2 linked regions of the Caenorhabditis elegans genome follow. The protein of the gene in region 1 interacts with the protein of each later gene in a pairwise test. Each region holds a gene or a part of one and is shown on either strand. Other genes may lie near its edges.

Region 1 (5,924 bases):
TTTTAGAATGCTGAGAACACGCTATTTACGAATTTCATATTCATTTTAGGTGAATTCTTCTTTAAAATGACCTAAAAATTAAACAAAAAGAACATAATTTTAATTCTCACGTAAAAATTTTTGGTAACTTGCTCAGTGCTTCAATTGTTTTATTGTAAATAAAAATATTTCACGTGAGAATTAAAATTATGTTCTTTTTGTTTAATTTTTAGGTCATTTTAAACAAGAATTCACCTAAAATGAACATGAAATTCGTAAATAGCGTGTTCTCAGCATTCTAAAAATATTTTTTTCGACTCAAAAATCGCAATTTGATTTTTTGGCCCATTTTTCGAAAAGCAAAAGTCCCATTTCATTTTTCGGAGCAAAGGACGATTTTGGAGATGGACAGTGTTTTTTGAAAGATTTTTTAGGACATTGTAGAGACCTCAAAAAAATGATCATTTCTCAAAATTTCAAGCCGATACGTTGTATATGAAGAGTTTTATGGCGGAAATTTGATTTTTTTGAAAAACGGTCTGTAACTTGACAATACATAAAAATATCAAAAAACAAAACTGATAAAATGTGGAAAAATATTTTTCATTTACTATTTAACAAAATTTATCTTTTGAAATTCAATGAATGTTGAGTTATAAAGGATACAATAAAAGAGTTCTCAAAATTTTTTGTGAATTTTGGAAAAATGGCTTTGACTCTGTGTAACTCAACAAATAGTTGGTGTATTCAAATAATAATTAATGTAATAAAAATAAAAAATATTTCTTTTTTTTGAGATACGCCAGTTTGAAGATACTCAGTTTAGCGAGTTTAAGCGGTTATTTGGTCCACTGAACATCTTTCCCTATACTCTCATTTTTTCAGAGAATTTTTTCAAATTTTCGATTTTCAGCTCGATTTAAATACATTCAATGTCAATGGAGAATTGGTAAAATCTGACTATATATATGCCTACCTTCTACCTACCTACCATCTATTTTCTGTACTCAGAAGCAAAGTACACTAAAGTGAGTTGAAACAAATTTTCACGTCTATTTTGGCTTTAGGCACTCCTTCAGGTAGGCGTAGGCCGTCTTTTAAGCAGATTGTCAATATATTATACATTTATCGTAAAATGAGTAAAAATTAGTTAAAACTTAAAATATGATATCAATTATAATTTCCCATCACGAGATCATAAAATTCATCGGACGGCGCATACAAGTTGAAAACTTTTGTCATTTCCAAATCATCCTGTATCCTACGAACACTTTTATGCACATCTGGTAGAATATTCACAAGAGTTCCAATTCTCACAAGAGGCTCTTCGACTTTTTTTACATTCCTCATATAAAAATCGAGTTCTTTCAATACTTGAGTTTTGATCTTATCGCCAATTTTAATGCATTCATCGCTCAATTCGATAAGTCCAGTATCCCAAAGTAACATTGTGAAGAGAGCAAGATATTCTATTATATCCATTTGAAGAGTCATCATTGGCAAGATCACTGACTTTTTGAAGCGCTCATAGGATGGCTTGAAGAGTCTAAATTTTTTAGATTTGTTGTACATAACTGATTTTTTCAGGAATAGTTGGAATATTCTAACGACATATTCCAGATCGAGTTTTTTCCTACTCACCTATTAATATCTTCACTGGAAATTTGCTTATCAGAATCTGTACCATTGTAAAATGAATTCAAATCATTTGTGTCAATATAGTCCCCAGATGGGAATGTTATTGCATCCGGTGTATTGTTCAAATGACTCGAAAATCCACTTTCCATAATGAAAAATGCGGTGTACGAGTTGTGGAACAAAATTCTCTGAAAAAAACAATCCACTTTAACTGCTAAAACCTAAAAACCTACCTTCTGATCAATCGGCAAGTTGGAAAATTCATCAAAGCTCCATGAGACCCAATCAGAAGCCAACGTGACATCCTTCATACCCTGCTTCACCGCTTCTTTGTAATTTACTGCCTTTGGAGTTCTCTTTTCAAATACAGTTTTATCTTCAGCCTTGTGAAGCGCTATCCGAGCATTGCACATTGTTTGGTAACTTGCTCGGATTTTTGAGAGAATTGGCATTTGACCCGTAAGTGGTAGTTCGAGCATCAATGAGTTGGACGTTCGGGGGCTCGAGAGTAAATCAATTGAAACTTCTTTGCGGTTTTTGGGTAGTCTTGGTTTCTGTTGAACTCCGACAGGATTCATTCCAACCTCAATGCATTTGACATAACGGCACGCACGGCACATACATCGAATATCTGAATTTTATTTATATTAAATTTTTAATAATTAAACTAATCCAAAGTTTGGTCCAAACAACTTCAAAAAAACGACCGTGATTTTTTTCAGGCGGTCCCTTTTTTCCCAAAAAATATGTTACATTTTCTTTTGCTTTTACAAAGGTACAACATGCCTGTGTAAGGAATTGATTAATATGTTATTTTTTGTACTTTAAAAATTAAATGTTAATATTTACAGAAGTTTAAAAATACTCACTAACAGTAACATCGCAATCGTTATTCCCTTGACACAAATATGTTTTACTCTGGGACACACTTCGACGGAAAAATGCTGCGCAAGCTCTGAAATCTAGGTTTTAAAGTCTGACCTATAAATAAATAAGTACCTGCAAGCTTCTGCTCCAAAGTGGAACCCATCTCCAGGTTCTCGGCAAATTGAGCATTTCGATTGATCCTTATCTTTTTGTCGTGGTCCCATTCTAGCAATTTAATTTTTTTCTTTTAAATTAATCAATAGTTTATGAACACACAAAGTGCAGAATAATGATTGATAATGGAGATAGAAAGATAAAATATGGTTTTCTGTTGATAAATAGTGAGAGGCGGAAAAGAAAAAAATTACGAGGCAATATTGCATTCATTTGAAACGTATTCCTTTGTAAGTTGAATTAGTAAAACAAATAAAACAAGAATTTTGTTTCTTTTATTCTCAGAAATTGCCAGTAACAAGATCAAAAAACTCATTGGGCGCCGAAAAAATATTAAAGACTTTAGTCATCTCCATGTCATCCTGTATTCTCCGTACGCTTTTATGAACTGCTGGAAGTAAGTTGACAATTGTCCCTATTCTAACTGATGGCTCTGCGACTTTCTTCACATTTGTCAAATAGAAATCCAGCTCCTTGAATACTTCTGCTTTGACTTTTGTGCCAATTTCCAGACATTCATCGGTGATCTCAACAAGGCCAGTATCCCAGTGGAGAAGTGTAAAAAGTGTGAGAAATTCATAGATGTCAACTTGAAGATTCATCATTGGGAGGAGCAAAGATCTCTTGTAATTGTCGTAGAACGGCTTGAACAAGCTGAAAATTTGAAAAAAAAAACGTTAAGTTTAACCATCTCTTTTCTAATACTTTTCAATATCTTCCGTGCTGATTTTTTTTTCAAAATTTGTAGAATTATAGTATCGCTCCAAGTTTTTCATGTCACAATAGTCTCCAGATGGGAAAATGACAGAGTCCGGCATATTGTTGATATGACTTAAAAATGCAGTTTCCATCATGAAAAATGGAATGTAGGAGTTGCGGAACAAGATATTCTGCAAAAAAGGAAAATTCAAAAATAGAAGTATTTTTAACATGTCTAGTTTTAGCCTCATTATTGTTCAATTTGCTCAAAAATGTTTTGACATTTTACGTAGGCATATGAAATAGGTAGACAAGCAGGTAGGTACGGCTGTAAGGCACCGCTATATTTAGATCTGCTGCATGCCTTAGCAAATGTCCTACCTACATGTCTGCCACATTTCTGAGGGCCTACCTACGCACCTTTCGCCTACCTACATGGCTACCTTTTGCCTCAAGGTATAGGGAAACATTTGATGTGTTAAAATAGCCATTTAAGTTTTCCGACTCACTTTCTGATCAGCGGATAACGTTCGAAACTCATCAAAACAAGAGGACACCCATTCAGGCATCAGCGTATAATCCTTCATTCCCTGCTGAACTGATTCTTTATAATTTATTTCTTTTGGAATCTTCTCCTCAAATACATTTTCTCCAACTTCATTGTGCAATGCTTTCCTGGCATTTCTCATATTTTCATAGTTCAATTTCATTTTTGAAAGTATTGGCATTCGACTGAACTCGTCATGATTTGATGAACTGGGAGAGATGAGTTCCTTTGATTTCCGGAAACTACCAGGCTTCTGCCGAACTCCTACAGGGTTCATTCCAACTTCGATACATTTGGTAAGTCGACATGCCCGGCACATGCATCTGATGTCTAAACAAATCAAGATAGATAATTTCAATTGGGCTTAGAGAACAAGCCGACTTGCCTGTCTGCCTGGCTTAGGCCTAGGCTTAGAGGCTTAGACTGAGCCTTATGTAGGCTTGTAAGCCCGACCTTAGTGAAAATGTTTTATTTTTTTGAAGTTTTTTTTTACAGAATGCCTTTGAGTTTATAACATAGTCCAAAATTTTGGCTCAAAACAGGTCAATTAATTTTTACTCACTAACAGTAACATCACAATCGTTATTTCCGCTACATGTATATAATTTATTTTCTGAAATACTTCTCCGGAAGAATGCAGCACATGCTCTGAAATTGTGCGATGTCTTGTATACAATTTAAATTTTACCTGCAAGCTTCTGCTCCAAAGTGAAAACCATCTCCAGATTCTTGACAAATCGAACATTTCGATTGATTTTCCCCTTTTGATCGAGGCCCCATCACGGGAAATTGGAGAAAATGGATGAGAAAAAGAAATAGAGAAAAGAGGAATTGATGATAAGAATGATAATGAGAGAGTGTATGTAGTTCTTGTAGTTGCCCAAGAGAGAGGTGGAAAACAAAAAAATTAATAGAGAAATTTTACACTTCCGGTAAAATTGGATTTGAAAATTTATTAACTTCTTCGAAAGCTTTTTTCCAGAAAATTGTTCCAAATAATTTTTTGGTCAGTTGGTTATAAATTTGTCAAATTAATTTATTCAGTTTTTTTTAAAATTTGTTTTGAAAAGTAGGATATATAATTTTCAAGTTTTCCCCCTTTTATATACACACAGTTGTATAAAACTCATAATTTATTCAAAAATTTCAATCCTTACATTACTACAAAGTTTCTGAAAGACATTTCAAAAAAAATTATTTACAAGAGATTTATGAATTTTCAAAATTTCGAAAATCCATCTATTTTTGTCTATAAATGGTAGTTTTCATTAAATAATAAAATACGCACTAAAAGGTAGGGCTGAAAATGTACTATTTCTGTAACTACGTGAAGCATCTTGTACCTACTAGAATATTGTTGGTATATTCTGAAAGAGCTTAAAAATTACTACAAAGTTTCTGAAAGACTGTTCAAAAAAAGTTACTTTGAAGAGATTTATGAATTTTCAAAGTTTGGAAAATCCATCTATTTTTGCCTACATATATTAGAATTATTCTTATCCTACTAGGGCAAGGCTGCCCACTAATGAATAATATGGATTTTTTCAAATCCTCGTAAGATGCCAATTTCTTATAATTGATTTTTATTGAAACATCAAAATTTAAAAAAATTTTAAAAACCAAAACAGCTAGAAAAAAAGACACAAAACCAACAATTAAAACAACAAAAAAACAAATATTTTGATTTAAGCCGATGAACCGCCACTCCAGAATGTCTCTCCGAATTTGTGTTGAAGAGAATTGATAACCTTTTGACATTGTGCCTCGACTTGTTTGTTCTCATCTGGAAATTTAAAATTTTAAAGGATAATAGGCAAATAATTTGATCTTCAGGACAAGAAAATCGAGAAAAAAGTGGATTTTCATAACTTTTATGTAAGCTTGTTTCATATAGTAATTACAGTTTTTAACTAAAAAATTAAGGATTTTGAAAATAATTCTAATAAAAATTGGATTTTATGGTTAACTTTCTAAACTTTTTTTTTGATTTATCGATTTCTCCTGAAAAAAAAGAAAAAAA
Region 2 (7,603 bases), on another chromosome or scaffold:
GAAGACGTTTTTGCATAAATTAGCTTGAGCATGCGCTCGCTTTCTGTTGTTCTTAAAACTTACTCTACTGACGAAGCTAGTTTCGTTTTGGGCATTTGGATTGTTAAGAGCAAGATGGAAATGATCTACAGGAAAGAATTGTCAAGATTATTTAATTGAAAAATACGAAATGTTTAGAAAATGTGCGAGGATGGGGAAGGTGGTTTGTTTTTTGAAGTTCAAAGTGCTTCAGAATAACTTAAAAGATAGTCGTTTGAACAGTGAGAAGTCAAAAAACTTGTACTAGGATGCAAGAAAAAATGACTACCCTAGCGATTTAAACCAAGCTTAATCAAATGTTAGTCTTCTAACACTTTTCTTCAAACTCGTTGTAATCTAGAAACTCTATGATCAAATGAACAGTAAGTGCACATTAGTTTTTAAAAATCGTCACGTCTTTAGCTCAACGATAATTATCAGGAAATTTAGCTTACTAAAGTACATATATTTTGATGAATTTACCCATAACATGTCATCGACACTACATCAACACTACGCTTTTAAATCAGCTGCACATGCTATAGGTTGCTCATTAGGTCACCAAAAGTATCAAAACATTCCACGAGTTTGTATCTATTTTGAGCTTTAAAAATTAACTTCTGATGATTTATCAACAACAGATTATCAAAAAAAACCACATGGTTTTTGTGCGGTTGGATACTCATTCTGAAACAATCGAATTTGCTTTTGAGGAGAGACATGGATGCAAGGACTACCGTAGTAATTATCCGAACTTATAAAATACGTTTAGCTTTTTAAACTATGTAGCGCACTTTTCATAAACATGAATGTTCAATGCTTCAAACCGAATCAGAAACTTAAGTAATAAATCTAAACAAAGTTAATAAAAATGTTTTGGAAAGTTGATTAAGTCAATGCGAAAACAAATCATTGAAATTTTGAAAAAAAAGCCAACAAACAAAAAAAATAGTGAAAAAAAACTACGATCATAATTCATAGCTTTATCGTTCTCCCAAACATGAATGGGTTAGAAAGCAGTATAATTAAAAACTCAAGTCTCGAGGTTCTGAAATTCCCACTTTTTTCAACATTCAGGGACAAAGACCACGGGAAAATATTTCAAAGTTTTCATGAAGAACTCCTTTGATCTGAAAGTCTCAAACGTGTGCGTCATTGGCTAATTGTACTTCAAGGGGGCTGGTTTTAGATGTTGGAAAATAAGCTAGTAATTACAGGTAAAACTAATATTTTCTCGTTCTGGGGAAGGAAAGAAAAAGTGTGGAAGTTGCGAGGAAATAGTTCACTTAGCTCAGTAAATTAAATTGTTTCTTTTTCCGAGGAACTACAACCCGTAGCAAAAACCTATTTAGTTATTGGAATAGGTATCACGAAGGCGTTGACAAAAAAACACACCTACTATATTTTAATGCTGAATTTTCAAGAAGTTTCCTCCATTAATTTTTAAAACTATTTTTATACAATTTACACAATTCTTTGACGGAAACATTAATTATAGAGTTACATAAGTCTTTTACAAGGGTTCGAAAATCTTTTGAAAACCAGCTAGTTGAACCGTTTTCTTTTACGAGGAAAACAAATCTTATTTCAATCAAGGTGACGGAATAATTGAAAATTTTCTCGTTTTTAAACCAACAAACCCAACACAAAAACGTAGCATTTAGGATTATTTTTGAATCGAGACAAAGTGTGAGAATTTTTAAGATTTCGTGATTTTATGATTCATGGACAATTAAAAATGGAATCATTGAGATCAGATTATCGACTGACATTCAATTACTTATTCGCGCAAACGTGAATATTTGAACAAGTTCAGAACACAAGTTTTGGCAAACATGTAATGAAATTCAAGATTTGGGAAGGAAAATACATTATGAAATATATATATATAAATGGAATATATTGTTTTAAAAATTAAAAAAATCTTCATCAATCTTCATCATCTTCCTCTTCGAAATTTCCGCAAAACGCGTTGAAGTCAGTTGTGTCCATTTCTTCTGAAATGAAAAAAGAGAATAAAAAAAAACAAGAATGCAAGAGCAGCAAAAAGTTCGAAAGAGCCAAGCCATTTGGTTTGTGATTTATGACGTGGCAACTCAAACTTTTCTGGATTTTTGCTTTCTGTGCGTATTCTGGTGTACTGCCACATCAGTGTTGCTTAGATTTTCGAACAAGACAACAGACAATAATTGGAAACGCGTTATATATAATTATAGGGAAACTACTCAATAATTAAACATCATGAAATTCGAAGAAAAAATTCTATGAAAATAGATTTGAACAATCAAAAATGAATGATTGAGAAACTTTAAATACAGAAAATTAGAGAAACGTGAGACATGTTTCCCTGCCTAAGCGCCTATCTATTGCCTGTTTTATGGAGTTTTAATGGAGTTTTCAGTTATAGCCGGAATTTCAGTGAACGGAATAGATTTACGCATGCTTTAAGACAGTAGGTAGGCATATGTGTAGGCACGAAACAGGCACTTATCGCCACGAAAGAAGGTAGTTTTTTTTCATCTATATAAATTATTTGCTTAGAGATTTCGGATCTGAGTTATGAACAAAGTCCGATTTGAAAAGTTTTAGTGTCAAACTTAATGTTTATGCAACAAAACAACTTGTTAAAATGTTTACTAGTCACTATCTATTTTTTGAAATTTCAGAGCTATTACTGCGTTTTCCAGATTGAATCTTTAAACTAACCATTTCTAAAATGAATTGGCGGAGGAATGAGCCCACGTTGCTCATAATGTCTCAAGTAATTGCACAAATGTTTGAGCCTCCGTTCCTTACTTCTCCGGTTTTGGAACCAAACCTGAATTACTCTCATGCTTAAACCGGTCTCCAATGCCAATTTGGCTCGAGCATGTTTCGACGGCTTTGGTGTATTCGAGAACATTTCATTCAGCACGTCCAACTGAAAATCATTATGAAAATTTCCGCTTTCTTACATTGTATACCTGATTTTGTTTGATTGTCGTTCTAGGTCCGCGTCTTTTTAGCATTCGTGAATCATCATCACAGAAATCGGAAAAGCTATAATGCTCAAAGTTGTATCCATAAGCGTCAACCTCCTAAAAATTAAATATGCAGTACATTATTCGGTATTTAATCCCTTTAAACTTTCAACGAAAAATAAAGTATACCTTTTTAACTTGGAAAGCTGATGAAAAAGATTCATCAATTGGATATGGGGCAATTGGATTTTCTGTCGAACAAGATGGTATATCAACTGCAGATCCTATTGCTCCAGGTGCGTTGTCATCCATTTGAGGAGGATAATGTGACATACAGGATACGGTCATCATTGTATCGTCAACAAGAATTTGTTCCCCCGGTGATAAATGCCGTCCACACAAAGAGCAACAATGACATTCCACATGGAACACGAGCCCAGCCTGTAAAGTTCTTTGAGTCAAACTTTACCGATCAAAGCCCCAAGCTCTATGCTTGTGCGTCTAGCAGGATCCCGTCAGAGCAAAGAGCAAAGCGTAAAAAATGATTACATCTTTCAAAACTATTAGTCAAAGCTTTGGTTTTTTTTTTAATTTGAAATTGTAGGCTTTTTGAAATCTTTCGGGCATTCCTACTGTTTATACAAAAGTAGTCAAAAATTTAATTGATAAAAAGTTGACAACTTTTTGTATAGGTTCGCTCAAAGTTTAATGTTTTCTTAAACATTCTGACCCAATTTAATACCTTCAGTTTATATACCATATCTGTCGGTGACACTCCTTTCTTGCAACCCGCACACCGATGAATACTGTGATCCCTGAAATAATGTATTTTTATTAATTCCAAGAATATTTTGCTAAAGCTTACTTATAATAATGTTGACTACAATAAATTCTCCCATTTTTCCAAAAACACTTTTCGGCCAGAGGAGACTCACATATTGTACATTTGACACAATTTTCGTGATACGATCGATTGTCCATCTGAAAATAAATGATGGCTGAAATCTTGAAATGTTGTTCGAACTATAGAAGCAAAAGAAAAATATTCAAGATTTTGAGCAGACTGTTTACAGAAGCAAAGCAAAGAAAGTTTGAAAAATCCACAAACATCAGCAAACTTACTCGATAAATATAACGATCATAAATTTGCTCATTGCAGCAATTACATTTGTTCTAGAAATATTTAAAAAAATTATAGAATGTTAGACACAAGTTTCACTAGAGATCGTATCGATAAAATGAGATTGGAAAATAGAATGAATACCAACCAAAAGTTTACACGATTGACTTTCAGAATCTAACTTTCAGAATTTTTAGAAGATGCGGTAATTTTACTTGACTCTCTGAAAGTCGAACAGAAATTTTCCCTCGTGCGGATTTTGTATAAATTTCAAATTGGAATTTCTTGACACGCAGAAGTCTTTGTAAAAACTTTCAAGCAAATGCAATGTAAGTTTTCGATTGATGTTAATTTCATTTTTCTGACTCTCAAATTGTTACTTTTAAATTTTTTTAAAGAAAAATTGTTTTCTGATGAAATTCACAACTGCTCAAGTTTAATTACTCACCTGATTTTCATGATCAACTCCAATTGAATCAATAACCATACTAATCGCACTGAGAGGCTTTGACTCTAACATTTCCATAGTTCAAATGAAATAAATCAGAAGAACAAATAACAGTGAAATTTAGAAGAAAATGCGCGAAATTGTGGCTACTCACTGTAACAAATCACCCGTCAAGAGCCAGATGTCATGTAGGCGTGGCATGCCAATCCAACAGGAGTCTCTAGACCCTGATCGATTATTAATGTGCGCTAAAACTGGTGTCTCCAAATGGTGACGATAATAGATGCATTTCTTATGAAGCTAGAAAGTGTGTGTAAGGATAAGCACTAAAAAGTTGTCTAGTTGGAACGGGCTCTCTCTATCGATCTCCTGACGGTCACTTGTGTTTTTCGGTCGATTCATTATGGGCAATGCATTTCGAATGAATTTGTTGTTTTTTCAAATGTTGTGTGAAGAATATATGGAAAGGACGTTGTAAAGTTTTATAAAAATTTGAATTTGAATAATCTTGTTCTATTACTCCATAGTTACAAAAAAAAGGAACGGAACGGCGGTGGAGAGTTTCTGACTATGCTAATTATTGGAAAATGTTATACTTGAGAATTCAGATTTTCTATACAACATTAAAAATTATGGTATGGACGTCTTCATTACTGCCAGCCTACTACTTAAAAAAAGCTTTTACAGTGAAGTTTCACCCAATCTATAGTTTGGGAGGTAAAATTCCGCGACATTTCAGTAGGTGGGTGCGTGTCTTGGCAGGAGGCATGCGTAGGTATCCTTAAAATCATATCGAATCATTTGCTCCAACTCGGCATTTGGAGGCAACTTCCTGCCAACAATTTGGCAACTTATTTTAGTGGCACTAAATAAGTTGCCAGGTTGTTGGCAGGAAGTTGCCTCTGAATGCCGAGAAGTACAAAAACTATCAGTATGTATTCATTGTTTGTTAAAAATTGAAATGCAGTCCAGAGAGTTTTCAAAATCATTTCCAAATTGTGAGCGTAACTACTCAGTTGTTGGTGTGTTTCGCTTATTTTCTCCTTTCAACTGGGTTTTTTTTTCAATTTATGTTCATTGATATTTCATGAGTTTTAATTTTCGTTTTGATTGACAGTACGGAACTGTCACAAGATAACAGTAAACCTGTCAATAATGTTAAATTTGATCTTTGTAGAAATGAAAGTACTAATTTAAATGTAAATATTTGCATTTGTGAAAAATAGAAGCCAGAAAATGAGAAAATGAAACCAAAAGTCATTTTCTAAGTAAAACGCGATATTAGAGGCTGCTGGGCAGAATTCCAAGAATTTAGAAAATTGCAGAAAACATTTGTTTTGATAAATGTCTTTAGGAATGAAATCTCAGAATACGCCAAGTTTTGCATATTTTATTATCCTTTTACAAAGTAATCAACCAGATTGTATTAATTGTTATTTCGCAACTAACAAAACCCCTCGTTTCAGTGCTCATTTTGAGTTTTAGTCAATTTCTACTCCCTTATTTGCAACTAACCATGCATATAACTGATAAAATAGGCAGATGATAAACTTGTCACTTTATTTGTTTTACAGAAATTAAAGACCCAAAATCACAATGAATGCTCTAACTTCTGCGCGTTTTTATCAAGAAACAGACTGTGTGTGATGACACACCAGCTCGGTGATAAATCAAAGAAAATGAGATCATTTTTCGTAGTTTTCCTTGAATCACAGAACTGGGCAGAAGCCTTATTCACGTGAATATGAGCATGATACGGTATTAGGTACACTTTCTGAAAAGATGAAAAATTCAATTTCTGATGAAACACATTTCTTCCTGATAAGGTAGTGAAATGGCCCCAAAAGATAAAATTTCAAAATGAAACTTTTTATAAATTCTATATTTTTTGGTGGTTAAAATTTTAACAGAGAAAGTCTGAATTTATATAAGATAACACCATTTCTATCTTCGCCAACTACTCCGGGTACCTGCAGGGCAAAATTAAAAAAAAACACATCGCTCCTCATTTTGATAGTTTATTCCGAGAGTTTTAAGATGTAATTTTTATCCATAAAAATCCGAAAATAGCACAATCGAAGATCATATAAACTGAAGATCTACCCAAATCTACAAACAACAAAATAAACGACAAAAATATGCAAAACAGGGAGACGCTTTCTAACAATTGATTTCAAAATTTTAAAATTCTAATATTTTGCATTACACCAAAAAATTACAGATTAGTATGAACTTTAGATCAAATATTACCAACTGGTTAACATTTGATTTGAAATTTCGTGGAAAATTTAAAACTACCTAAAGTTGCCAGAATTCAACATATCTTTGAAAAAGTTCTAAAAATGTTTTTAGATTGAGATTTAAATCTTATTTATGTAATTTCTTCTTTTTTCATTCCTCGTTGTCACAAAACAATTTGAAAACTATTCCTACTGACACAAAAAACCATGTGATTTCAAATAAGATAACTACAATCTACGGTTTAACAAAAAATAATTATATTTTTGCTTGACTGATAAGAGCCAAAAAGCTACTGTTTGATAATAGACATAAAACACATGAAAAAATGAAGAAAATAAAATTAAAAATCTGACACCACCATAAACGGGCCAATTTGTTGCATCGTTCTCGAATACATTCTCATTGGAAATTCAGATTGACGACCTCGACACCATTATATGTTCAGTACCTACATGGCAGTTGACGTGCACATACAACACTAGCCATCAGTTGTCTGTGAATACATTATTACATAACAGCTGCTATTTTATTGGTTCTTGAAGAACAATGAAACTAATGTTGGTTATGGGGCGAGAATTATTATCAGTAGTATCTGTCTAAAAAAAAAAGCAAAATGTGGGGTAAAAAGTGAAATAAAAGTCCCATTATCAGACGGACTACAAACTTCAGATAATAGAAACTGTATAAAGATACATGCAACGACTTTAATTTTAGTAGATTCAATCAAAAATGAATTTCACAATTTGTTCATTCCTGCTCCTTATTCTTGCAAGCTTCTGTTTTTCTGTGTCTAATAATATTAAAGGGAAGAAAGTT

What was found. The genes of interacting proteins can lie anywhere in the genome.
Region 2: the proteins of nhr-273 (region 1) and mec-3 interact in a two-hybrid assay, tested with the Caenorhabditis elegans proteins (one large-scale study listed by BioGRID).

What each region holds. Positions count from the first base shown.
Region 1 is NC_003280.10:4,432,163-4,438,086, reverse strand, and holds nhr-273 (Nuclear Hormone Receptor family), read right to left. Parts: upstream 2,788-5,924; 5' UTR 2,709-2,787; coding exon 2,617-2,708; intron 2,573-2,616; coding exon 2,487-2,572; intron 2,249-2,486; coding exon 1,851-2,248; intron 1,806-1,850; coding exon 1,621-1,805; intron 1,526-1,620; coding exon 1,150-1,525; 3' UTR 1,089-1,149; downstream 1-1,088. Other genes in the region: nhr-109 (NR LBD domain-containing protein), read right to left, coding at 2,940-3,312, 3,364-3,548, 3,867-4,234, 4,467-4,552, 4,593-4,684; toe-1 (HEAT repeat-containing protein 1 homolog), read right to left, coding at 5,590-5,687.
Region 2 is NC_003282.8:10,457,143-10,464,745, forward strand, and holds mec-3 (Mechanosensory protein 3), read right to left. Parts: upstream 4,726-7,603; 5' UTR 4,625-4,725; coding exon 4,547-4,624; intron 4,152-4,546; coding exon 4,101-4,151; intron 3,960-4,100; coding exon 3,844-3,959; intron 3,794-3,843; coding exon 3,721-3,793; intron 3,420-3,720; coding exon 3,168-3,419; intron 3,096-3,167; coding exon 2,982-3,095; intron 2,939-2,981; coding exon 2,725-2,938; intron 2,016-2,724; coding exon 1,948-2,015; 3' UTR 1,674-1,947; downstream 1-1,673. Other genes in the region: srb-17 (Serpentine receptor class beta-17), read right to left, coding at 64-95; ugt-43 (glucuronosyltransferase), read left to right, coding at 7,517-7,603. UniProt on the Caenorhabditis elegans protein: Transcription factor. Specifies differentiation of the set of six touch receptor neurons (TRNs).